Linked DNA regions of Arabidopsis thaliana. The protein of the gene in region 2 binds, or shares a complex with, the protein of the main gene of each other region. Each region holds a gene or a part of one and is shown on either strand. Other genes may lie near its edges.

Evidence for each region. Proteins that work in one complex are often made in the same cells at the same time.
Region 1: PBP1 (region 2) and GLL22 share a complex: the UniProt entries of both Arabidopsis thaliana proteins name them as parts of the PYK10 complex.

What each region holds. Positions count from the first base shown.
Region 1 is NC_003070.9:20,153,644-20,158,562, forward strand, and holds GLL22 (GDSL-like Lipase/Acylhydrolase superfamily protein), read right to left. Parts: upstream 2,878-4,919; 5' UTR 2,723-2,877; coding exon 2,464-2,722; intron 2,140-2,463; coding exon 2,021-2,139; intron 1,790-2,020; coding exon 1,321-1,789; intron 1,234-1,320; coding exon 905-1,233; 3' UTR 511-904; downstream 1-510.
Region 2 is NC_003074.8:5,577,325-5,581,538, reverse strand, and holds PBP1 (PYK10-binding protein 1), read right to left. Parts: upstream 2,250-4,214; 5' UTR 2,086-2,249; intron 2,065-2,085; exon of another isoform or gene 2,010-2,064; 5' UTR 1,980-2,009; coding exon 1,779-1,979; intron 1,682-1,778; coding exon 1,238-1,681; intron 1,117-1,237; coding exon 865-1,116; 3' UTR 507-864; downstream 1-506. UniProt on the Arabidopsis thaliana protein: Inhibitor-type lectin that may regulate the correct polymerization of BGLU23/PYK10 upon tissue damage. Activates BGLU21, BGLU22 and BGLU23.

The DNA.
Region 1 (4,919 bases), on a different chromosome or scaffold from region 2:
ATTTTTAAATTATACTATTTCAATTTGTATGTTTTAACTTATGTCCAGATTTAGCGTCATTTTTTTCTTATTTAAATAGAAAAAAAATACTTAAACTTATGACCAGATTTAGCGGATGAGATTTGTTTGGTCTTATTATATTTTTATTTTCCTGTCGCTTATGATCCACAAAATCAGATCACTAATGCCCACTATATGTATTTACTGTAATAAAATAATCCCAACTGGTAATGATATTTATTTTCAGTTTGGGAGTATTATATTTTCCCAGCTGGTAAAAGATACTTTATCATATTCGTTTTATAATTATAATTAGCTTATTGTTGGGTCAAAAGAAACCAAAAGGAATTAGCTTATTATTTTAATTCGGTGTCATAAAACGAATCAGTCATATATTTTTACATAATTTATACTTACTCTGTTTCTTTTTGTTTAATTGTTTAGAAAAAAAATTATTTCAAAAATATTGATTTTTTAGATTTTTAATACAATAGTTATTAGTTATAATTGATAAATTGTAAACTTCAATACAAATTAGTAAATATCATTGGTTTAGAGTTATTGAAAATTGTAAATCACAAAAAACAATACATTTAAAAGCAACATTTAATATATTTTCTTAATATTTATGTTTTTTCTAAAAAATCAAACAAAAATGAACAGAAGGAATATAAGATATCGAATAGATTAGAGTAAATCGATAGACTAATGAACTCTCGATAAATTCCAGGACGTGGAAAGAGTTGATAAGATCAATCTTTTATTATAGAGAAAAACTCACTAGAGAAACAGGAAAACATTGCAAATCAAAAACATCAAGATTCCGATTTTGATTCGGTTATAAATTAACTCATGACCATTGTAGAAAACCTGATTGACCCTAAAGATTGAGTTTTAAAAAGACTCAGTAATACTCGTAACCGCGGCTAGTGGACGAGCTAGAGTCGCTGGCGTGGACAGTAGCTGGCGTTGGAGGCACCCAAAATTCACGCATGGGTTCATCGACTGGGTAAACAGTAAGCTCACGGACGTTCATCGGTTGGACAACATTTGTATCGGCTCCAAAAAGAAGATGGGCAAACATTTCTTGCGCCTTCTCGGAGTTGTGACGTCCGTCGAAGAATAGGAAAGACCGTTGGTACTCACATAGCTTCGAATGCACGTTAGGTAAACCGCAACCATAAGCATCGTGAGATCCAACTCCGCAGCACGATGCGTTCGTGACGAAAAACCCTAAGAATGACAAATATTAATGACTTGGTATTAGAAGTTATAAAACTAAAACAAATGAAATTAAACCATGATAATTAACCAACTCACGGAAGTTTTGGTTCCTCTGCGTCCTAGTAAGAACGGCATTGTAGAAATCAAAGACGGTGAATTGGAAAGGAGCTGATGCAGGAGAGTTTCTAGCCATTTCGTTCAACATCGGTCCAATTTTTTCGTTGTGTTGTTTAGCCAAATCGTTGAGTTTCTCATAGCATTGATCCATCCCGGTGTTGTATTCTTGTCTGACGATGGGTAAGCAACCCAATGGAGCTAAGGTTTGGATCACGAATTTACTCGCTCCTGATGAATACAACGCGCTAATATCGTTCTTTAACTTGTTGGTCACGGAAGTAACAAAAGCTTGTTGAGCAGATGCATCAGCGGTAGGGTTGTTCTTGGTGAAATTTAAGTAATCGTTTGCACCAATGTATATCATAAATACTGACTTTGCCACGAAATCATCGTTCCAATTTGCTGCTTTCATTTGATTGAATTTTTTCACTTGTTGATTCAGAGTCATCTAAAGAACCAAAAAAGAGAAAAAGACAAAAATTAAACCAATATTATAAGTGCAATTAAAGTAAAGCTTATTGATATTAAGTCACATGCTTTTCTGTGAAGTAAAACAAAAAGAATCCCGCTTAGTATGACCGGGTCAATAATAGACAGATATAATTGATTTTCTTTGAATTAGGTGTTGACTATAGATATATACATGACTCTTATATAATAAGAAATTAAGTTTACTTACAGATTCCACCGGAGCTCCGAGTAGAGTAGCACCTTCGACGGCGAAACTAGCTCCACGTGAGACATTGACGTTCGGTTGAAGCGCCGGCGCGATCGCGAGCGGAATCTTCATGAATTTAGCTGCATTTTGTATTTTAAAAATATTTTAGTTTTTCATATAATATCAAATCATTCCTTGTACTACATCTCCGAATCTGTTGACGAAAATAATAAATAAAATTTCATAGAATGTGTCCCGAAAAGTGAATAGCCGCTGAACCAATGCATTTATAATCTTTTTTTTAATCATACTATTTACTATTTTTTAAGTAATTCACTAGTAGCATACTTAAAATGCATTTATAAATACTACTGTTTATGATTATTTTTACGTAATCATACTATTTTTAACATACTTAATGTTTTAAAGATTAGAGTAGGATTCGATTAGAAAAGAAGTCGTACCGAGGAAGTCCGGAGTGATGAGGCCGTCGGAGAATTTGCCGTTGGGATCATCTCGAGATTTTCCGTACGGCCAGAAACCTTGAGCGACTAAGGTTTTGGTGAGAGTCTGTTTGTTTCCGGCGTCGAAGTTGGAGTCACCAAAGGTGAACAAGGCGACCACCGGACTATTCTGTCCGGCGACAGTGATGGGGTTGTGAAAGAGGGTCAATACCAAAATTACACATAGAACACTGACTAAATTACAGTTGTTTGCCATCATTTAGAGAGAGGGAGAAACAGAACTGTGAAAAGAGAAGAAGATTGCTTTTGTGCCTTAGCTCGTAGACCGATTCGTTATATTTATATTGCAAGTACTACAATTTGGCAATGAAAATAATAGTTCATTTTACTATACAAATAATAACGTGTAGCGCGAGGTTCATTTTACTATACACCTATTTAACGCACTAGCAAACGATTATCGATCAATTATATTATATAGTTCGCTTAATCACGTCTGACGCATTACTGGTTTCTCTTCTACTTTATTTTTAATTCTCAACAAAATATCTATTGTTACTACGAGTACCAAGAAAGATCGTGCTTTTTTTTTTTTGGTTCAACAACAACTTACAATTACACAAGAGTCTGAATACACATAAGCTTTAACCCAATCCGGCAATATAGAATACAATTTGGGATCATAATTCAGAAAAGAAAGAGATTCCCTAGCAATTCTATCTGCCACACAATTCCCTTCTCATCGGGTAAAAGTCACTTTAACCTCTTCGAAGTGCTGAAAAGATCGTGCATTTAGAGGCAAGAAGTAGAATTAAACATACAAATTTCACGGAAATATAGGGTGTAAATGGTAACACTAAACCAGATTCAGTAATTTCTGCAGTAACCATTTGCATAAAACTAAATTTTGCTGACTAGCCAAATTCAACAAAAAAATTTCAACACCAACATATACGTAGATATGTTTATTTCTGCTAAAACTTTTGGATAATTTACGAGTACACAACTCGAATTAAAATATTTTTAATATCAAAATACATATCAAATAGATATTTTTAAATAAGTCAGATTATACTGATACGATATATGAATAATATAGATACATAAAATATCACTACCAGAATAGACAAGAGACGAATATGTTCGGATAATTATAGATAATTTGGATAATAATTTTAATAACGTTTAGATAACTTAAATCAATTATTAAAATTTTGCAAAAACAACTCATACCTATGCTAAGATATTCTTTAAAAGATAAATTATAGTAATTTCCTTAATCATCCTCATCATATTATTGATTAAATTACTTGAAAACAATTAAAAAAAACAATTAACAATCTATATTTTATCATCATGTTAATTTTTGAAATTATTTTCTTAATAGTGTTTTGACAAAGATTTTCGTTAATTATTTACATATTTTTAATAGTTCAAATTTAAATAAGAAAGAATAACTCAATTTTGCGTTGACACAATCTTAATAGTATAGGTAATAGCTTAGTTATGTATATATAAATTATAAAAACTTGTGGAGAGTTGTTCCTTAAGATTTACAGTGAAGATTAGAGAAGATTAAGTTTTGAGAGAGTGTCTATATCAAATACAGAAGAGTTGGTCCTTATTCGTTTGTAAGTTCTAGTAATTATCAATTTGATTGGAATCATTAGAACGACAGAAAGGTGAACAATTTTGTTTCTAAAAGAGTGCAGAAACTAGATAAAAATAAAACACATTTGCTTACGTGAAGATGAAGTTTTATATGAAGAACGCCTCATTTGTTTGGTTCATCTATTATCTATATATATGATTTTTGGTTTTATTTCATATGAAAATTAACTGTAAATATAGCCGGCCCCAAAGCCAGATGTATAAACTTATCTTTTCTGGAACTTTATAATTTCTACTTTTTATTTTCTTTGTTGCCAATCATTTCGAATATTACCTTGCAAGAATAATTGCAAACAAAAAAAGAGGGTAAAAAAGGTCTCAAATTGAATCCACTACCTTCTTAAATTGATTCCACCAAAATTTATCATTTTGTTCTAATGGAGTGCATGTGGCCCGAAACTTGTCTAATCTGAGCACAAAGCAGGTCATTGGACACGCTTTGGTTCATATTGTCAGGTTTATCACGTTACTCATTGAGATTTTTCTTATGGAAAAAACAGAGTTGAGGTTACATTATTATTTTAAATCTCAACAAATTAATAACAGCGCATTTCAAATTCCAAGAGCTCGTTCATGGTATAGAGATGGAAAATAGTGAGCTCAAGAACTAAACGAGTTAGATAGATTCACTAGCATCGACGTCGACGTCATGGACTAACGATGATATTCTCATCCATTGGATCCTCCCAAAACTCACGCATAGGCTCATTAACAGGATACACAATGAGCTCACGAACATTCATAGGTTGGATAACATTTGGGTCCGCTCCAAAAGATAAGATGAT
Region 2 (4,214 bases):
AATATTCATATACTCCTTTTTTACTTCCACAGCTTCTCAACTAATCGTCTTTATATTGGTGTTGGCCAATGAAACGATGGCAGCAAGCTAATTAGTTCTTTTAAAATTCACAGAGTCGTCAATTTTATTATATACGTTATTACTTGTAAAGGGTGCAAGTTGCAATTTATATAAGTCAGAATTCTACAATTAGTGACCCCCTTTTTAGGACTCTAATTGGTTGACGATTTGATAAGTCTTGTAAGAACATGTTTCCACAGCATTGTACATTATTTCAAACAGTAAAAGTATAATTGAAATCACCTAAGAGAAATTAGAACCAAGAGTATATATATAATACAATTTTCTGTAACGCTCAATCTAGAAACAAGAACCGGTTCGTATTTTTTGGCCAACTCATATACTTTTAACTAATAACTTTTTATGTTTGGAGAAGGCCAAAAACTTCAATATGGTCACACATTCTAGATAAAAACTTTGTGCAGGATTTTTTTACTGAGAAAATACGAACAACTATATATTTGATCCAAAAAAGTTAACATTTGCATTTTAAATTGTACAATTCATACGTTGAGATTTTAGTTTGAATTATAGCAAGTAAAATTAGTATCAGAACCAAATAATGGCAAAAGTAAGTATTATAGAACATATAGGGAAACTAAAGATCAGATTGGAACAAACTTCCTTTATTAAAATAGAGCACAAGAAGAACAAAGAAAAAACAACATCGCAAGAGACAACGCGTAAAACACTTATCAAAGATCACCATTCACCAGAGGCATGAAGAGACCTCATATGAGAAATTTAGAAGATAGATTTGATAACTTATTAGATGCATGGAATCAAGGATAAAGAGCTCCATCATCAGTTGGATAAAGGACGAACATGGACTCCAATTTTGTGGAGCAGAACATCGGCTCTTCCATGGAAACCAACGATCTTGTGGCCTTCCTCTTTGAGTTCGAAGACTGTGCCAGCTTCAAGTCCAAAGGGAGGAGACGTTTGCTTATTAGTCTTGAACCTGAGCATAGTTATGACTGAGCCATCACTCCCAAAGATTTTATCATAAGTGCCATCGACTGCGGTGATGTATTCACTTGGATAGTCAAGTACGAACTGCAGTTATTGGAAACCAAATAAAACAATTGAATACATTATGATGGAAACCGGAAGAGAATTTGAATTCTCTGATGTATAATTTTTACATTCAACAAAAAGAGCAAAGAAAGTATTATACCTCTTCGAATCCGAGTAGAGTACTCTTTCCATGTTCTTCTCCTGTGACCTCCTCAGGGCTTTTGTCGTACACAAACTTAACAGCTGAGATTCCATCTTGGGCTTGTCCAACGTACACCTTCTTAACCCCAACGTAAGCACCATCATCCCATACAGTTCCGTCATCACTACCAAATGCCGTTAGCTGCTTGGCAGGAGTCAACGGAGTTGTAGTAGTCAACGGAGCAAAGTAAGCCCCAAGAGAATTAAGATTGCCCCCGGCAGACCCATGAAAGCCAATGATCTTCTTGTCTTTAACTTGTAGAGTGAAGTGAGTACCCTCATCGGATCCAATGACATCAGAAGTCTTCTTGTTGGAGATGAACTTAATTCCTTGAATGATACCTTCAGGGCTATACCAACCTTCTACAGAAACTAGATGTTCGTCTGGATGGTTAATCACAAACTGTAGAAATAGATCAAGATGAAAATGTCAAAACTTCAAAATATAACAGTATACATATAGAAAGAAGAAGATTAATGGGCAAGGAAAATATAGGAACCGGATCAGCTGGGAGAACACGGCCTTTGGTACCACGAAGAGGAGCTTGTTCGGGTTGTCCGTTCTTGACATAATCAAACTGAACATATTGAATTCCGTCTATGCCTGCTGCGAGCTGAATCTTGGTCACGGCGTCATGTGTCGATCCATCGTCCCATAGGTTGGCTCCTTTCCCTCCTTGTGCTTCCACCTTTTGGGCCATCTTCTGCTTCTTGATAGTACTTACGAATTTCTGTAGTTGCAAAAATAAATTGTTAATATCTACTATTAACCAATTTTTACATAATAGAGAAGAATAGAGATAAGACCTTTTAAAGAGAGTAGATTGTTATCGGTGCTATGATCAATTAAAGTGAATTGTATGTTTATTTATATTGACTTCTTGATATTGATCGTACTAGATGAAATAATAAGGGAAATAATAATTTATTCTTTCGTGATCCACGAGGCATATTTATATAAAAAGCATTACTGGGAAAAACGCATGTTCATATACATTTTTTTTTTTAGATAATGAAAATATTCATATACTTCTACTTGCACAACTTCTCAACTAATCGTCTTTATATTGGCGTTGGCCCATTAAACGATGGCAGCAAGCTAATTCATTGTTTTAAAATTTAAAGAATCGTTTATCAATTAGATTATGTACGATTAATTATTTGTAAAGGGCTAAAGTTGCAAGTTGCAACATATATATACGTTCTCCTTATTAAGAGTCTAATTGGTTAAGATTTGGTAATTATTGTATGAACATGTTTTAAAGCCTTAATCATAATTTAAAAACAGTAACGTTTAATTCAAATCACCGAAGATTAATTAGAAGTTTAGAACCAAAGAGGAGACTAGATATATCATACAATATTCCGTAAAAAAAATCTAGATACAAGAACCGGATCATATGGATCTAGCCATAAAGAATACTCCAAAATATCACAACTAGTTTTAATAACTCTTAGGGAAATTTACGAATTCCTCTGAATTCAAAACTGCTTTTTTTTTTTTTATAACTGATTTATGAAATATTATAAAATTTTGCGAAGAATATTTCTAAAACAAATTCTGTATTCGTTGGTAAAAAGATTTATAATTGTATCATTTACACTGGTACTAAATATTAATCTAATTGAGAGACGCTTAATATGATTCATAAATTATCAAAAAAGCTTTCTAGCTCGACTGCAAATGTACCATGGGATATTCCAAGAAGTCGCACGATCGAATGAAAGCTGGTACGTATAAATTATTAAAAGTTGATCTAGATCATCAATCAAGAAAACATCCTATTTAACAAAAACAAAGGTTAACATGTAGTATGTATTTATTTATATAATTATCTGTTGCGAATGTGAAACAATCGATAGAAATTACACTAGCTAAGTAATTAATAATAACTATTTGATCATCTATAACTATATTATTCAATACTTATATGATCAAAATATGTAAGCTAGTGGTTTTTGGTATTTCTTGTTGATGTGTTACCTTTCTAGTTGAAACCTGCATATTTACTTATTATTAAAAAATAAATTCAGTAATAATATACCTACGTCTTGGCATTATCTATTTAAAATGAAGTGGGTACAAACTTATAATTAATATAAATAAAAAAGAGATTTTAATATTGCAATCATGTTCCCATCACTTCATCAGTCATCATAAATAGCACCCCAATAATTTAACTTAGAGTAAACAATAGTTATTGAGATATGAAAATCATTCCAAGATAGCAACAGCCAGCCAACAGTGGACTTTTGAAAAATTAAAACAAATACGTAAACAAAATTAAACTCAACCATAATCATGAATATTTTGATGAAGATATACCTTTCCAGTCTTCGATCTACGTTCGTGCGTATTGAGCTTATCGTTCTTCTCGTTCTCGATCGTCTTCGCACACAAGGCCAAGAATATATATATATTTTTTTTAATGGGAAAAAAATACCAAATTTACGTTTTGTTTTGCATGTGAAGGTACTTTAGTTTGACTCTTTTTGTCGAGTTATTGCTTCCATTCGTTAAAATATTTTTTTCAAAATACTACAAAATGGAAAATTTATGACAAGCAAATATATAAATTCTTGCCAAAAAAGTTTTTTTCTTTGTTTTTAAAATGATTGACAACATTTTATCTTTTGACAAAAAAAAAGACAAAATTTTATCTAATAAAGGTTACAAATTAAACAGCTTTTATTTACGAATTAAGGTTACAAATTAAACACTTAGAGAGTGGGCTCGGTTAGCCTACCTTAACCTTCCTCATTGCCCGCATAGGTTCTACTCCACCAGACCAATTAAGTCCCACCAGATTCACACTTATGAATCTTAAGAGAAGACCTTGATAAAAACACACACACACACACTGACACACACATGAATCACTAACATGAGTGAGTGGTGACTAGTTACACATCTCAACTTTAAAGTCTCATTAAGT